Linked DNA regions of Drosophila melanogaster. The protein of the gene in region 1 interacts with the protein of each later gene in a pairwise test. Each region holds a gene or a part of one and is shown in the gene's direction. Other genes may lie near its edges.

Region 1 (7,778 bases):
AAACATCTACACCGGTCCCCGGCACACAGAGCAGCACGTGACCGTCGGAATGGTCGGCTACCCAAACGTTGGCAAAAGTAGCACCATCAACTCGCTGATGACAGTGAAGAAGGTGTCCGTTTCGGCCACGCCGGGCAAAACTAAACGCTTCCAGACGCTTTTCCTGGACAAGGACATACTGCTCTGCGACTGTCCCGGTCTGGTGATGCCGAGTTTTGTGTTAACCAAGGCGGACATGTTGCTCAACGGCATCCTGCCCATTGACCAAATGCGCGATCACGTTCCCGCCGTCAACTTGCTGTGCGAGCGCATTCCGCGCCACGTCCTTGAAGACAAATACGGTATTGTGATAGCCAAGCCGCTGGAAGGCGAGGACATGGAAAGGCCACCGCATTCGGAGGAGCTGCTGCTGGCTTATGGATGTAAGTGCCAATGCTTTGCGCACGCATTTCAGTATTTCACAACGCACTCTTTCTCGCTCTTTTCCAGACAATCGCGGTTTTATGACCTCCAACGGGCAGCCGGATCAGGCGCGTTCCGCCAGGTATGTGCTTAAAGACTACGTCAATGGCAGACTGCTCTACGCCATGAGCCCGCCCTCTGTACCGCAGACCGAGTATCACACCTTTCCCGAACGCCAGCGCAGGGTCATCGAGGAATCACAGCTGCCCGGCCAACAGCAGCGAGCCATGCGGGTGAGATTTGCCCTTTGCACTAGACGTGATTCCTTTGCTAACTGATCGCGTTTTCCGCAGATCAACAAAAGCACGTCCAAGGAGCTAGACAACCAATTCTTCTCCGACAAGCCTACGCACGCCCACGTCAAAGGACGCACTAACTTCCCTAACGTGCGCCTGGCCAACGACGGGTCCCTAGTAGCCGGCAATGATCCGGCGGCCAAGCCCTGGCGTCATGTGAAGAAGGAGAGGCGCGAGAAGCTGCGCAAAAAGTTCTCGCACCTGGACGAGCACTGATTGTAGCCCATTAGTTATTTATTCCGAAGGGTGTGTCTAAGAGGCACTTGTACATTTTAAGCATTAAACCTACGTATATACATATATATTAAAGTCCCCCCGACTTCGAGAGTTTGAAGGCCCACAATCTCAGACTGAAAGAGTTATATTGCGCAACTAGCAGATTGAGAGAAACATAGATAAGCCATCTGATGGCCCAGCCTGGACACAACGATTAACACAAAGATAGCATATATTTAGCATACACACCAATGAAAGCAAACTGTTGTTGGAATGGCGCCCCCAATTGAGTTTAAGAGATGCGTGAATGGAAGGTAATTTCGAGATGCGGAGGAGCGCAGTTGCGCGGAGAAAAGAAGCCTGCACTTTGACCGCGTGATAAGCGCAGATGCTTACGGCTCTTGTCTTCTATCACTTGGCCACAGTCTCTATCACGCAGTCTTCAGCGATGGCCACAAACGAGAGCTGCAAGCACTTCAGGGAGCTGGTCGTCGAACAGCGTTCTGGGCTGCTCCACATACGCTTCCAGCGGCGCTGGCAACGCCGAACCCTCTACGAGCTGATGCGCGCCCTGGACCTGGCGAGTGCAGACGCCGCCGTTAAGGTGGTCGTGCTCTCGGGCGAGTTTTCTGCAGCATGTGGCGGTGAGATGGAACCGTTGGCTCTCAAACAGGGTCTGGAGAATAGGAGTAGGCGTACCGCTTCCCACGAAGAAGCTGTGGGCAGTGGTGATGCCGAGGAGCAGTACATCCATGAGAAGGCGGCCAATTTTGTGATGCGCTCGCTGGCCAAGAAGCTGCTTGTGCACCGCAAACTCCTAGTGGCTTTTGTGGAGAGGCAGTGCGTCGGTCTGGGCCTGAGCGTGTGCAGCCTGTGCGATCTGGTCTTCGCAACGGAGTTATCTGCCTTTGTGCCCGCTTTCTCGCACCTGGATCCCTGCACCAAGGTGGGTCCCGGCTGGACTGTGCCACACGTCCACTGGCTGCTTCGTCTGGGCGATCAAGCGAGCTCCAGCATTGCCCTCCAGTGTGGCCTTGTGGCCAGTGTGGTGCGAGAGCCGCAGGAGTTTTGGCACCGCGTCGACCAATACTTGCGCTTGCCTTCCGCCTCCCTGTTGGCGACAAAGCGCCTCCTGTTTCGTCCCTGGCAGGACTCCCTCTTGGCCGAATTGCGCGAGGAGGGCACTCCGCTGGCTGCGCAGCGACGCCGCTTGGCCAGATCCTCGCTGTAGGGTTGCGCTTCCAGATCCGTTGAATCGATTAAGTAAATAAATAGCGATTATAAAATAATGACATGTCCCCATGGTATTTCTTTTCATTCCTTTCATTGGAGCTCCATGACTTAACTTAAACTTTAAATCAAAATCTGCAACGGAAACGGGTATGCATATACAGATGGGCAGCACTGTTTTCGATATCTTTCGACTGGAAGGCACAGCTGATTGCCGGCGCGTGTTGTTTTTTTTTTGTTGCTCGCCGCAAAACTGCGAAAGTAAAATCTCGTAATTTTGGGGAAGATTAATTAACTTGGGCAAAATGCAGCGAGCACGACTGTTGCGGAACGTGTGGCTCTGCAGGCAGCGCTTGGGCCATCTGCCAGGACGCAGCGCTTCCTCCGCCAGCCTGGCATTCCGTTATGCAACGAAGCCTGCGGCGCCAGCGGTGCCGTTCTCGCTGCTCCAGATGCGATCCCTGGGAACGGGTGGCGTCCTCAGTGCGGTGGAGCGAAGAAGCCGGCGCCCCGCCTCCTCCTCTGAAAAACCGAAAGCCAGCGTGGCGGATGCGTGGACACAGCTGGAGGCGTACTACCGGCAGCACGATCTGATCAACTTTGAGCACTGCCAGCGCCTGCTGGAGCTCCTGCAGGAGTCTGCGTCGCCGCTAGGAGTCGGCATCGAAGAGGTGCACTTCCTTCTAGGGTCCTGTGTGCCCGAACTGCTTCCTGCTCAGAGCAGCCAGGAGCGTCTTCAGCTCTTCAAGGGACTCTGGGCTCAACTGATCAAGTTGGGCCAGCCCACGCTGGCACATTACCACACGAAGCTCCAGGTGCTGCGCCAGAACCGTTTGCCTCTGACTGACTATCGCTCGTTGCTGGCGGAGATTGCCGTCTACCATGGAGCAGCCGATTCCACCTTGTACGGCGCTCTTTTGGACGTGGCCGGCGCCGCCGGAAACATGCGCATGGCCACCGAGATTTTGTCGGAGATGCGCGAGCGCAGCCTCGCCCTCACGGAGCACAACTTTCACGCCCTGCTTTTGGGCCACGCCCGCAGCGGTGATCTGCCCGGGGCGGAGTCCGTCCTAGCCAGCATGCGGGCCGCAGGAATACAGCAAGGCAGCAGCACTCAGGCCATTTGGTTCGAGGCTCTGCTGGAAAACGGTCAGTTGGCACAGGCCAAGGAGCTGCTGCAGGTGGAGCACGGATTCACCGCCCCTCAGCTGCTCCAGATGCTGCGGGGTCTGCTCGCCAGCAAGGATGTCGACACGGATCTAATCCAACTGCTTGTCAAGGAACTGCCCCGCGAGTTTCTAACAGGTATCGACCTGCCGCCCGCCATCAGAAGCCTGTGCATTCAGCTGGTGCACCAAGGACGCACCGAAGTCGTCATACAGCTCGTAGGTGCGTTGCCCGCTCCGAAGTTCGAGTTGCAGAATCAGAACGTGGATGAGTACGGTGCACTTCTGCTGCAGGAGTTCTTCCGCGCCCAAGTTCCGTTGGACCAAACAATCCAGTTCGCCGGTCAACTAGTGCAGCGGAACCAGAACGTCCGCGCCCTGCATTTGGTGGCGGAGTTGGCCCTTCGCCGTCAGCCATCATCCGCGCTACGCTGCCTGGAGGATCTATCTGCAGCCGGCGAGGAACTTCGTCCGCATTACTTCTGGCCCCTGATCTTGCACCATTACCGGCGGGAGGGCGAAAGCGGCATGCTACGCCTGGTTTCTGAAATGCGGCGCCTGCGCGTTGAGTGCGACGAGGAAACGTTGCGGCACTACCTGTTTCCCCACCTGCGCCAAACCCTGGTGCAGCCCTTGGAGGCCGTGAAGGCACTTGAATCGGCGGGGGTCAAGCCTTCCCAGACCCTGTGCCCGGTTGTGAGCCACTTGCTGCAGCAGCATCAGATGTCCGAGGTGCTGGACTTGCTTGATCGGTATCCGACACGCTTGGACCTGGCCACGCTGCTCCAACCACTTTCTTCGCTGGCGGTCAATGCCCGTGCCACGAAGCGTTTCGAGGTATTTGCCAAAGTGATCCAAGCCCTGCAGCAGAAGGCACTCAAACGGGGAGAAGATTTTGTGGGCTCCTTGCTGCTGCAAATGACTGGACCTCAGACGCGTCTGCGCCAGGATGCCACCTCGTTGCGACGTTTTCTGCACGAACTGAGACGCCTAGAGCTACAAATCTCACCCGCTGCCTCCGAAGCTCTACTCTCCGTGGTCCGGCACGCCACTGATGACGTTGACCTCATCCAGGATCTGGCCAAAACGCTGCAGAAGATGAAAAACCCACAGCTCGCCCTGCCAGCTGACACGGTCTCGCTCCACGGAGGCTTCATCAAGCACCCGCGCGACATGAGCATAGACGAGCTCGAGTGCCACCTAGTCGAGCTGGAGTCCAAGCAGCTGAACCCGCGAGGCGTGTTGCGTCGCTTGCTGCAGCTCTCGGTGCGCAGTGGGCGCTTGGAGCGCGCACAGCAGCTGTTGGCCAAGTGCCAAGTTCTGAAGGTTCAGGAAAGCGCAGGCATGATGGCCTCCATATTCGACCTACACATCAAGCTGCGCGACTTGCCGCGCGCCCAGGAGAGCTTGGAGCGACTGAGCAGCATGTATCCAGGTACCTAACAACTTACTACTAGATGTGAACTGCATTAATCCGCATACCGTTCTCTCTTAAGCCTTTCAGATTGACGAGCACAAAGTGATCGACTATGCCGCCCTCCTGGTCCAAGGCCAGCAGCTGGAGGCCGCAAAGCAGCTGCTCCAGCGACGCGCGGAGCAGCATAAGGTTGTCGGTGGCGACTATGTGATGAAGAACGTATGGCAATTGCTGACCAACGTGGGCCAGCTGGCCGCCTCTTCACATGCAGGTGGCGAGAGCTCCAAACAACTTAACCAGACTCGCGAGTGGTTGGACTTCCTCAGGGGTCTGGGCTACTGTCAATCGCAAAATGCCCTACTGGGACCAGTGGTCCGCGAGTGGCTGTTGAAGGGCAACTTGGACGCTGCGGTGGCCGAGTTTCAGCGACTGGCTAACACTCACAAGCACACGCCTCTGCAGTTCGAGCTCTTGTCCCTGCTGGTGCGACTGGGCAACGGGGACGAGCAGGAGCTGACCCGTTTTCCCGGCGTCACGGCCGAGTCCGCGCAGCAGCACCTAGCGGTGGTTACTGCGACTGTGAGTCGCATCCACGGAGCGGCCAATATGAACAGCGCTCTGCTGCTCGCCCTGGCCGAATCCGGAAAGGAGACACAGCTGCGCCGGCTGATCATCAACCCAGAGTTCCGCATCAACCACGAGCTCCTCGTGAAGAATTGCGAGCACTTGGGACAGGAGGGCGCTGTGCGGACGCTCCTGCGGCTGGCGCGCGGAGTGAGGGGTGTCCAGCGGACCATAGACGAGCAGAAGATCTACGACCTCCTGTTGGCCCAGTTCTGCCGTAGCAACGACTACGAGGCGGCGTTGGATCTCTTTGAGCGCTTGGAGGCCGACGACGAGCTGAAGGTGTCGCATGAGTTCCTTCGCAACCTTGTGCAGCTGCTGCAGGTGAACCAGGTTGAAATTCCCAGTACAATCGCCCTGCGCGCCCACGTTAGATAGCCGGGCGACGAGATAGATAGATCGTCGCTCTTATCCTTAGTTATACACTTGGTATGTATGTACACACATAAATTAGTGCAGTAAATACGAGACGGTATACCTGCAAGTCTGAAAGATCTTTTATAGCTTCTGGGTGTCCTGGTGCCACGTCTAGTAGGCCTGGCTTTTGAAACCTATTGTCATCTGGAATCTGTGCTCCGAAACGGTCACAAAGTTTTCACTCGTAGCATACAACAGTCTCCTAACAGCTTCTCCGAAACCCACTCCCAATCTAAATTTTAGTTTTTATTCGCGTTCAATCTGTGCAAGTTGCAACCCCTCCCTATCCAACCATGAAGCGGCTGTCCCGACGTCCGGTCTCCGATGAGCAGAAGGCCCAGATGGGCAACCAGATTCATGAGCAGGGCGCAATAGAGGTATTCATGTCGGTGGCCACCGTCTCGCCGCTACTCCGAACGCGGGTCCTTCCGCAGCTAAAGGATCAACAGGATCAGCTGAAGGACAAAAAGCAGGACCGCAGGCCGAAACCGGAGCCAGAGAAACTCGAGAGCGGCGCTCAGGGCGACGCCGGTTCCGCTTCCTCGACGTCGGCCCACGCTGTAAAGCTCTTGCCAATCGAGGGAGATCCAGCCAAGCTGAAGGCGCTGACCAGCCGCCAGCAAATTGCCAGCCTGCTCAATCACCTCGGCGACGGCGCAGAGGGCGATGGCGAGGCCAAGCAGATCGTGATGGAGCTGCTCGGCAGCGGGGTGCAGCCGCACTCGGCCATCGAGCGCGTTTCCGAACAGCTGTTGCACGTGCTGCGGGAGCAGACTCTGATGGAGGCCGGCATATTCGTCGGCAATGAGCGGTATCGCTTCTTTAAGGGCGTGCTGCAGAACTACGCCAAGATATACGCGGCGCGCAAATTTATAGATAAGCTGCCGAAGCTAGATCAGCTTGGCCCGGATGCGGGTGCGGAGCGCGAGCTGTTCGCCCGCGTCGTTGCGGAGGAGGTGCTGCAGATCCCGCAGCTGCTGCGCCAGCTGAGGTCGTCCCTGTCGAAGATGGAGTTCTTCAACGAGGACACCGCCTTCAAGGCCTACCTGGAAGTCCGTTATCACCCGCAGGCCCGTATCCTGTGCGAACTAATGCTCACCCGCATCTCTCGCGTCTTCCTCTGCATTGTCGGCTCACCATTCTTCCTGTACTTCACCGAGCACGAGCTCACGCACATCTTGCGAAACTGTTACCTCAGCGTCAACTCGGAGATCGAGGTGAGATCGTCAAATCATTTCCGTGTGGTCACTGGGTCATTCTCCTTCTAATTCAAACGATAACCATCGGCAGATATTCCTTTCCGTGGTGCTCTGGCTGGAGCACAACTGGCTTGAGCGCGGCGACTGCGCCGAGCGCATCTTAGCCGAGGTGCATTTCGCCTTGATGCCGACTTGGTACTTGTGCACCCTGGACAGGTCCAACCGGTGCAACCACTTTGCCCGAGTAATCCACAGTCCCGGCGTGCAACGCTTGATTGCCGCAGGCCTAGAGTAGGTTCCATTCTTGGGGGTTTGTACATCGCTTACGTGAACTGTTTCCCCCAGAGACGCCATCACCCTCAAGTCTAAGCCCCGCTTCAGTGGCGCCGCTTTACACCGACAACGAAAGCATCAGGAGGAGAGGCTCTTGGTCCGCGACTGGATAGTGGATACTGAGTGCAGCCACCACCATAAGAGCCACTGCGAGCAGTTCGTTTACCCCACCTACGACGCGTTCAAAGAATACCTGGCCAGGATTATCTGCTGCGCGCCCAACTGCTGGCGCACGTTCCGTCCTGCCCAAGAGGTGTACCGCAGGGACTTCCGCTGCTGCTCGCTGCCACACTTCAACTAGACTCAGCCCGCGTCCCAGTATTCTGTACCTTCCTGCTACTTCTGGGCAGTCGTGATTCTGTCAGTTCCGTCCATTGTCCTTTGCCGTGTCCATGTTTTTTTTAATGCCATCCACACC
Region 2 (9,660 bases), on another chromosome or scaffold:
ACCCAGTCCACGTGCGAGTTCAATGCGTCAACGGAATGCGCCAGGCACTTGGTGTTCCGCTTGGCAAACTCCGGCTGGTGCACCGCAATCCTGCCCAGCTCAGTGGTGCAGACGGGAGTGAAGTCGGCGGGGTGAGAGAAGAGCACCACCCAGCTGGCGATCCGAAGGAGAATTGGTAAGATTCGATCAGAGAAAAAGGGTTTGATGGCACTTACGAGTTGCCCTGCCACTCGTGGAATTTAATGGGCCCCTTGGTTGTGTCGGCCTCGAAGTTAGGTACGGTCTGTCCCAAACGCATCTTGCTGTTTGATTTTTAGTTTCACTTGGAAAAAAACTTGTTAGTTGCTCAGCTGGTAGCTGTTATTAGCTCGCACACTTGTTGCTTACTGAATACTGACTGGGAGAGCTCGCTGTCTTTTATACCCGACTGGATCAATTTGATGAAAGGGGACCGATAGAGACAGAGAACGGGAGCTGGCTTATCGTATCATATATGTACATATGTATGTTTGTATGTATAGTACGTGGTGCTGCGGGTAGACTAACAAACAACTCAGTGATAATTGGGGACATTGTGAGGGGAAAGATGAGGCCTCGTACGGGGTCTCCATATTTGTGTGAACCTCAAGAGGGGCCTTAAAAAAACCTGTTTGGGGCGTCACACAAAAATGGACTCTGTGACGAACACATTTTAGATGTAACGCAAAATGAAGTACAGTTTCGCATATTTCTTTTAATTTAAACTTGTTCGAATAAATCAATCAGTCCAGAACCAATTCCTTCAGGATCTAGTATCAAAACAGCTGATTTGATGCAGTTGACGGTTTTGCCGGCTCCAAACATAAACAGAGAGCGAGAGCGCATTTAAATGTTAAATGGTGTTGGTAAACAGAGGCGAAGCACCAACACCTGCAAACATACAGCCACGCCGATAGGCGGATATTGAGAGCGAGAGAGCGGCGAGCAACGTGATGGTATTTGTGAGTGCCTGCAAAAATCGCACACTTCCATAGATCGCACGGCTCTCCCGTTCACGTACAGAAAACGAGCCTCTAATTGAAAGTGAAGAGCGAGTGAAATCGTGAGACTGTGTGCGTGGGTCTATCGAAAATTAGCACACCAGCATAGGTTTTCTCTCAGTAAGTCACACATAAAGATGGAATGGATTTGGGAAGTCGGATGGGCAGATCGCTCATTCAGAAGGCAAAAGACAGTACGCATGAAAGCAGCCCAAATAGGAATCATATGGTTAAAATTCAATATCTAGTCATAATGGATACCAAAAATGCAACAATTGATAAGTTTAATTAGAAGAGTTCCCTCCCAGTAGCTCGATCGTGTTTCATAAGTTACAAGTACAGTTTTTGTGCTAGTGTATAAAGTCTAATCAAGAATCCAGCAACATTCGTCTCTACACCAGACGTGTGGTAATTTTCCACTGTTTATTATCAGTTACGTGATAGGATTTCTATTCGGAAAGGAAGTAACTAAAATACAGAGTGAAGGTTGAGGCGAAACGAACAAGAACGATTAGAAGAGTGAGATAGAAAGTGTCAAAGCATTTGAGAGAAGCCGTAGAGCGAACCGGTAAATTCTGCAGCATCGATAGTCTGTCAATCGAATCGAATCTTTTGAATTTATGGCGGTTTTTTTTACCAGTGCAGCGATCTCTTAATTACATTCTGGGCAGAGTACTAGAAATCACTAAAGTTTTTTGCGCTGATGCATTTTTAAATCTGGTTTCAATGTAAAACGCGTATGTTTGACATTCGTCATACTTTTATACCATAGGCAGAAGTTTCTAAGTAATAATTGCCCTTAATATTCTTATCGGTATGGCGTAAAGTATGCGCTAAAAATAGATAATATGATCTTTTTTTATAATTTAAACCAATATTTAAAAGATTAAATTAGCATTAAAAAACATAACGAATTACGTAAGGTTTAATTTTACCCAAAAAATAAGATTGCTAGCAATAGTGCAATAATACCCTCCAAAAGTATTGTCAAGGGTTTTACCTAAAAACATTTTAAGATTTTAATGGCACTTTGGGAAGTGTGTTACTGCTTATCAAATTTTGAATTTAGGCGCCTAAAGAGATTTATTCGATAAGAATAATCGATAGCTGCCGAGCGCACTCTGATGTTGTCAGGTGTCGGAATAGATATCGATATCATCGAATGAACATCGGCTTTTGTTCCAGCTCTATAGCATAAAGTCAAAACTTCGTAGATTTAACAACTCATAGCAATCGTTTGAAGGTAAATATAAGGAAATATCAACTGTAGATCCGATCAACAGCATAGAATGACAGCCAAATCGAATTCATCAGCTAAATAAAACCCCAACAAAGATCATTTGCCCCAGCTAAAAAAAAATGATAATTTTCTTCTCTGCGTGTGGGAGCTGCGAGTGTGTGTGCTTGCTGCATGCATATATGCGTGTGTGCGAGAGGGAGAGAGTGCTGCCAGTGTGTGAGCTGGTGCTTGTTTGTGTGTGTGTGGACAGTGACTCGTTGGTTAGAAGGGAAAACAAAGAAAACTTCAGAAAAGTACGACGTAAAAAGGCATTTACAAATGTAGAATAATCAAAACTGACTTGCTAGCAATGTTAAAAAGTGCAGAAAGCATTGGCTAATATCGTTTGGCTATTGATTTTTTGCATTTTCGTGCATGCAATTTTGTAGCTGTAGTTGTTGCTGTTGTATTTTTTTGTGCTGCAGCTGCGCGTCGCAACTGTAAACTGCTGTTGCTGTTGTTGTTTGTATTTTGGGTCAGTTAACGAAAGAGAGTGCACGAGTGATTGAGAGAGTGCGAATGAGGTGAACGGTGTAACGGACAAAGGACATTGCATTTTGGAAGTTGTTTGTGTTTGCTAGCCTCCTTACCCCTCCCTTCGTCACTCCTCACGTATACACACACAGCATCTGCATATGCACTTCATCCGCTCTCTCTTGCTCGCTCGTTGCTGGCTCACTCTCTCTAATTCCTCGCTGAACGTCTCTCTCTCAGCCTCCTTTTGCAACCACAACAAGATAAACAACAACGACAACTCAACCATAACATGGAGAACGTCGAAGAGGCCCCGCCACTCTCTTCGGAGAGCAACAGCAATAGCAACAACAGCAGCGCCAGCAGCAGCTCTCACCAGCTCTCTCAATCGGGAGCCATGGGTGCCGAAATAGCCCCCTCTACGTCTCGGTCACACTCTCATTCGCCCACACCCTCGCCGCCCGTCCCCGCGTCCTCTCACGACCAACCCCATCCCGATCACCCTAGTCCCCCATTGAATGCATCTGAAACGGAAGCTCGCGAGAATTCACCACATGATCACTCACCCACTCCTACTTTCCACCAGACTGCACCGCCACCCACGACTTCATCGACGGCACCGCAGCGGGACGAGCGGGAGCAGCAGCAGCAGCAAGAGGCGCCACCATTGCAGCAGGATCAGCAGGAGAATTCGCCCGCGCAGGACCAGGAGCTGCACCCATTGCTGGATCAACAGAATCAAGAATATCCCGCAGTGCACCAAGATCAACAAGCGGAGCAAAACCAGGAGCTGCATCACATAGAGGGGCTTATTCGGCACCGAGAATCACAGAATCCGGAAGAGCATCCACCACAAGCATCGCTGGAAAACCGGGAGACATTAGGACGAGAAGATACCAACCAAGAACCGGATGAGCCGCAAGTTCGAGATCCCGAAATCGAACCAGAAGCCGAGCCACCGCCACCGCTGCTTCTCGAAGATCTGGACGAGCAGGACTCCGGATCGCAGGATCTTAACGAACAGCAGCCGCCACTGATTATAGACGCAAACGCTATAGCCGAGACCATAGACGCCAACGCCGTGGAGCGCATCGACGACTACGAAGACGACGACGAGGAGGTGGATGAAGAGGAGGAGGTGGTAGAGGACCGGGTCGACAGAGCCGGCGAAGTCGCTTCCGTTTCCGGTGCCCAGCGCCTGCACTCGGTGGCCGTTTTGCCGCGCTACTCCTCAGCCTCACGAGCCCCAAGGAGCAGCAACAATAACAACAACAATATCAGCAATCACAACAACAATAATAACAACAGCAACAGTAACAGCCTCTCGCGACGCACTCGTCACTTCTACAGCAACAACGGCAGTCACTTCAGCAACGACATGTTCCCCAGCCACAATCCCCGCAGCAGCACCCAGACATCATCGCCGCGGGTCGGTGGTCGCCGCCATCACTCGACCCCCGCCGCCAGCTCCAATTCGCCACAGCACCAGGGCGTGGATCCCCTAAGGCTGCTCTATCCCAATGTCAACGAGAGCGAGACTCCGCTGCCCAGGTGCTGGAGTCCCCATGACAAGTGCTTGTCCATCGGTTTGTCGCAGAACAACTTGAGGGTCACCTACAAGGGTGAGTAGGATTCGAACTTCTCTATAAATCAACTCTCCATTTCATACCATCTAAAATAGAAAGTAGGCAACGATCAGGCAACTATAAGATACAGATTTCTTAGGAGCTGTCATAGTTCAATTCTAAATCGGTTTCATATTGCCACTAATACGCACATTTCAATTTCGCAATGAAATGTAATAATTAAATATGCACTTACATAGATATAGTTACATAGATATGGAATAAATTGTAATAAGTTTGTCTACGCTGTAGCCAAGTATGAGTATCCAGGTGGTATAAGTGCCAGAGTTCATGGAGTTTATCTTTATTACAACGATTTGACTTTGTTCTTACATTTTCAAATTTGTATTGATCTAAAGCTAAAGAGACAGTATACAATATTTTAGCCCTTAAATCAAAACACCCGAATATAAGGCTAGCCCCTACTAAATTATTACTTGCATAGTTATTAATTGCATTATCGAAATTATTATTTATTCGAAATCCCATCCACAAAATCTAATATTTGTCTTGAAGGATGTAACTCAATGCAGTAGAAAGAAGAAGAGTCGTAGTGCAGCTGCAGTTTTCACTCTCTTTCGCTCTATCTCGCTCTGGCACACACACGCACAGGGCACAGACAGGTGCTCTCAGCTGTGCACTGGTGGTTTTTGTTTTTCATAACCCACTTCTCCCACGCTCATTCGCGTGGCTGTTAAACCGCTAACAGCAACAGCTGGCTTACCAGTGCGACATAACATGTAAAATGCGCGTAAAATGTATAAGTTATTACGTAGATGGTGCGTTGCATAGATGTAAAATGTATATTTAGGTTACTTTAATTTCAGGTAAAATATATAACTCAATAATTCGAAATATTTCATTTAAATTGATAAAATGTCTCATTATTGTTTCGACGTAGACTTAGGCCAAAAATCAGTTTTTTTATTTAGAGTATCAATTTTATTATTTTTATTGTCCAGATAACCAACTCATTCATTTATGTTAAGAACATATCCCATGTACTAAGTTCGAGAGTAGGAAGTTCATACCGAATGGATAAAAGAATATTGTCTTACTGCAATGCTATAGCATATAAAAATTGAGATCTGTCAAATACTGAAACCTCATGACTTTTTAGGTGTGGGCAAGCAGCACAGTGATGCCGCCTCAGTGCGCACTGCCTATCCGATCCCGTCCTCCTGCGGACTGTACTACTTCGAGGTGCGGATAATCTCCAAGGGACGCAACGGCTACATGGGCATTGGCCTAACTGCCCAGCAGTTCCGTATGAACCGCCTGCCAGGTTTGTGTTCCATTGTGCTGCTCGGCGAGATGTGCCCATGATTCCTAATAACCGCACCCCCCCTCAAGTAGGTTGGGACAAACAGTCGTACGGGTACCACGGCGACGATGGCAACTCGTTTAGCTCCTCGGGAAATGGCCAAACCTACGGCCCCACTTTTACCACCGGCGATGTGATTGGATGCTGCGTCAACTTTGTGAACAACACGTGCTTCTACACCAAGAACGGAGTGGATCTGGGCATCGCATTTAGGGATTTGCCGGTGCGTATTCAATGGAATTTTAAAACTACTTTATCTTCTAACTTTATGTTTGTTAATCTTTTTTTTTTTTGTTTAGACTAAGCTTTATCCCACTGTGGGCCTACAGACGCCTGGCGAGGAAGTGGATGCCAACTTTGGTCAGGAACCATTCAAGTTCGACAAGATCGTCGATATGATGAAGGAGATGCGCTCCAATGTGCTCCGCAAGATCGATCGATATCCACATCTGCTGGAGACCCCAGAAAACCTGATGAATCGGTGCGTTTTTGTTAAATGTGTTTAAAAATCATGGCTTAACCCAATGACTTCTAAATTGCTTAGCCTGGTTTCCACTTATTTGGTGCATAATGCGTTCAGCAAAACCGCCGAGGCCTTCAATGGCTACACAAATCAGACTTTCAACGAGGACTTGGCATCGATCAAGACACGTCAAAGTTCGTATATTTGCCATTTGAAATGACAACACACATGCCAACTTTAAATCCACTCTTCCAGAGATCATTAAGCTTATACTGACTGGCAAAATGAGCCAGGCCATCGAACATACACTACGTTCTTTCCCCGGACTCCTGGAAAATAATAAAAACCTCTGGTTCGCATTGAAGTGCCGCCAGTTCATTGAGATGATCAATGGAGCTGACATTGAGGTGGGTTTTTAAACATTACATGCGGAAGATAAGTAGAACCGGATGGTTTGTCTTACAGAACGTGAACAACAAAGTCACCGCCACCACACAGACCATGCCCACAAACCAGACGTCAGTGATACAGTCCACCAAGACGTTCAAGCACAGCAAGAGCGGCAGTGGAAATGGCAACGTCAACATAAATCAGACTCAACAACAGAACAACACTGCGATTCCAGCTGTGATAAAGCCACAAGGCGGCGATAGGCCAGATATAAAAAAGTAAGTCAAATGTAATACTTACTCCGATCTTTAATCACAACGTACTGTTCAAGCATGTTGGTTGACGACAACTCCAACAAGTGCGTGGAGCACGACAGCAACAGCATGGACGTAGAAATGGAGCCCTGCCAGAGTCACTCCAACGGCGGCGACTCGAGCTCCAATGGCAATGCCAGCGCAGTGCGCAACTCTCTAGATGCCATCGACGAGGAAATGGGTATGTATCTATTGGCGGCATTTCCGGGAAGATCCGTAATCCCTAGCACTTGCAGATGTAGATGTTTCCCCCTCATCGCGTAACTGTGGTCGTGTGATCGAGAAGATCCTTGAGTTCGGCAAGGAACTGTCCAGCATGGGCCAGCAGCTGGAGAAGGAGAACCTAATGACTGAAGAGGAGCGTCAAATGTTGGAGGTAAACTATAAAAATGTATAAACAATAGAAACTGGTATCTTGCAGACTAAGCACTCTTTGTATTTGAAAAATAACTTCAATAAGAATATGATTATCCGTAATCGAGAGATATTCAATTTATGGTTGTTACAGGATGCATTTAGTCTGATTGCCTACTCTAATCCTTGGTCCAGTCCGCTGGGCTGGTTGCTGTGTCCCTCGCGACGTGAGAGTGTTTCCACCACACTCAACTCGGCCATATTGGGTAAGTCTTTAAACACTTGTCTCGAAACGAAGTTACTAATTACTATGATTATGCAGAGTCCCTGAACTTCGAGCGTCGTCCGCCGCTGGAATACCTGGTGGCTCACGCCTCGGAGCTGATCAAGGTGATCGGACAGCACTCGCTGGGCGAGGACGCTTTCATTACCATCGACGATGTGTTCCCGCAAAATTGACCCAGTTCCCCGACGCTGCTGAAGATGTTCGAGACCACGCTGACCCTGCCGCGAACCAGTGTGCTTACGGAACCGTTGGGCAGCGCCGGAACCGGATCTGGGCCCTCCACATCAACGGCTGCCGTGGCAGTTCAGACCAGCAAACGACGCCGAAGGCGGCGTAACAAACGTCGCCGCAAATCCTCCCTGTCCAGCAATACCGATGCCCCGTCGTCGCGGACCTACGATCCCGTGATGACGGGCAGTACGCTCCGGTCGGCAGCTGTGGCATCGGTGGGCGGGGGCACGGGCACGGGACCAGTGCGTCGGGGTCGTCGCAGGAGCGGGGTCAGCTCATCTTCATCGGCGGCAGCGGCTGCAGCAGCGGCAGCGGAGGAGGAGGCGGAAGAAGCGGAAGCGGAGGCGGCTCGCCAGGAGGAGGAGGAAGCGGAAATCTTGAGCGGAAACAGCAGCCCATCGATGTTCGTCGATCCGCAGGACTTCTTCGAGACACTGGACTAAATTTAGATTATTTACAATTTGCAGTAGGTTAAATTTTGTTGTTACTTCCGTTCTCTTTCTTTTTTACCTGCGCAACCGGCTTCAGTGCGCCTATTTAAAACTAATCGCCGTTCTTTTAATTGTTCGATTATGCTAAAGATGCTATGCGTTTGGCGGCCTTTGATTTGGCGTGATTTTTAATAACTTTTAACATATATTTTATATAGCCTCTCTAAGCATAAAGTGTGTAATATTATGATGTATAATTAAATTTGCGAAATGTGCTGCGACACGACCCTTGAAATTGAATTAGCCCTTTGTTTTTCGCTTCCACCGCCCGAAACACAACAATCACACACCAAAATATAATCTAGAATTGATAGTGAAGGGACTAGCCTGGAGCAAAAGCTGTTCAATCATCTCCTTAGCATGTTAATATAGAACCGAATCCATAGTTAACTGGTAGACATTCGCGTTTTAATTCTCCGTGTTTTCAGCGATTTTCGATGGACTCCGCGCCATCCCGTGTCTTGTGGCAAGACTAAGCAAAAGCAAATGAACATTTTAAGTGTAATGTTTCGCTATAGTGTTTAAGCGTATTAAAATTTAATCTATATATACAAGATTGGTCATACACACATTCGGCAAACATGAATAGAATTTAACTGGATAATCGTTTAAATATATTGTATGGATGTGTATTTCAGGAAAGCGAGAACTGTGTTTTAAAGGGGGTTCAAATTGGATTAAATATATGCCATTCTGACAATGTGTTCAGTTTTATATATTAAAATTGTATCTTTTCAAATGTCATGATTTGTTGATTAAGCTGAAGTTTTCAACAAATAAAAATAAAAATGAAAGCACATTCAAATTACCAAATCACTTGCAACCGTATTATTTATTATTCCGTATAAATGATCGTTTTTAAATACCAGGTAAAATGCAAGTTCAAGTCATTGGTCTTTTAAGGATCAGGAGTAGAATAACACATTCATTTAATACATTGTTTTGTATGCTTATATATATAATATAGTTTATAATGTTCACAAATCCGGCTGCCTTATCCTTTGCACTTTTTCATGATTTTTGACGTGCTCCTTTAGCAGACGCATTATTTCGGTATCGAATTGAGGAGGTGTTGGCTTGGTATCGGTGGCCCAGTAGAATATATCCCAGTCGTTGCTGACACCATTGATCAACTGATCGTACTCGGCGGTCTGCTCGGCATTGAAGTCCTTCAAATGCTTGGCCACAAAAGTGCTCAGCAAGAGATCGTTTTCCAGCATTCCGCGTTTCCTGCTTTGATACAAAAGGCTGCACAAGATAATGAATGATCATAAGTAGGAGTTTGGGATATTTTCATTTTAAGCGTATACCGCTGCTTGCGAGTTTCCAGCGGCTCATCGGGACGGACAGGATATTCCGGAACTGGCAAATGCGGCGGATCATCGTAGTCCACAATTTCCCCGGGTGTTG

What was found.
Region 2: the proteins of Lrpprc2 (region 1) and RanBPM interact in a two-hybrid assay, tested with the Drosophila melanogaster proteins (one large-scale study listed by BioGRID).

What each region holds. Positions count from the first base shown.
Region 1 is NC_004354.4:1,455,290-1,463,067, reverse strand, and holds Lrpprc2 (Leucine-rich pentatricopeptide repeat containing 2), read left to right. Parts: upstream 1-2,450; 5' UTR 2,451-2,509; coding exon 2,510-4,805; intron 4,806-4,866; coding exon 4,867-5,789; 3' UTR 5,790-5,893; downstream 5,894-7,778. Other genes in the region: Ns3 (nucleostemin 3), read left to right, coding at 1-422, 490-695, 756-974; CG14787 (uncharacterized protein), read left to right, coding at 1,423-2,205; CG14785 (uncharacterized protein), read left to right, coding at 6,122-7,045, 7,119-7,318, 7,373-7,661.
Region 2 is NT_033778.4:10,427,522-10,437,181, forward strand, and holds RanBPM (Ran-binding protein M), read left to right. Parts: upstream 1-2,190; 5' UTR 2,191-2,262; intron 2,263-2,483; exon of another isoform or gene 2,484-2,552; intron 2,553-3,012; 5' UTR 3,013-3,064; coding exon 3,065-4,394; intron 4,395-5,517; coding exon 5,518-5,682; intron 5,683-5,750; coding exon of another isoform or gene 5,751-5,753; coding exon 5,754-5,944; intron 5,945-6,020; coding exon 6,021-6,202; intron 6,203-6,265; coding exon 6,266-6,378; intron 6,379-6,439; coding exon 6,440-6,591; intron 6,592-6,649; coding exon 6,650-6,852; intron 6,853-6,905; coding exon 6,906-7,069; intron 7,070-7,115; coding exon of another isoform or gene 7,116-7,124; coding exon 7,125-7,264; intron 7,265-7,396; coding exon 7,397-7,508; intron 7,509-7,564; coding exon 7,565-7,701; coding exon of another isoform or gene 7,702-8,202; 3' UTR 8,203-9,060; downstream 9,061-9,660. Other genes in the region: CG12896 (uncharacterized protein), read right to left, coding at 1-153, 216-298; CG12895 (uncharacterized protein), read right to left, coding at 9,228-9,498, 9,561-9,660. UniProt on the Drosophila melanogaster protein: May be involved in JAK/STAT signaling. Isoform D is required for the proper arrangement of niche cells and is autonomously required for proper niche cell size, isoform C negatively regulates the adhesive properties of the niche.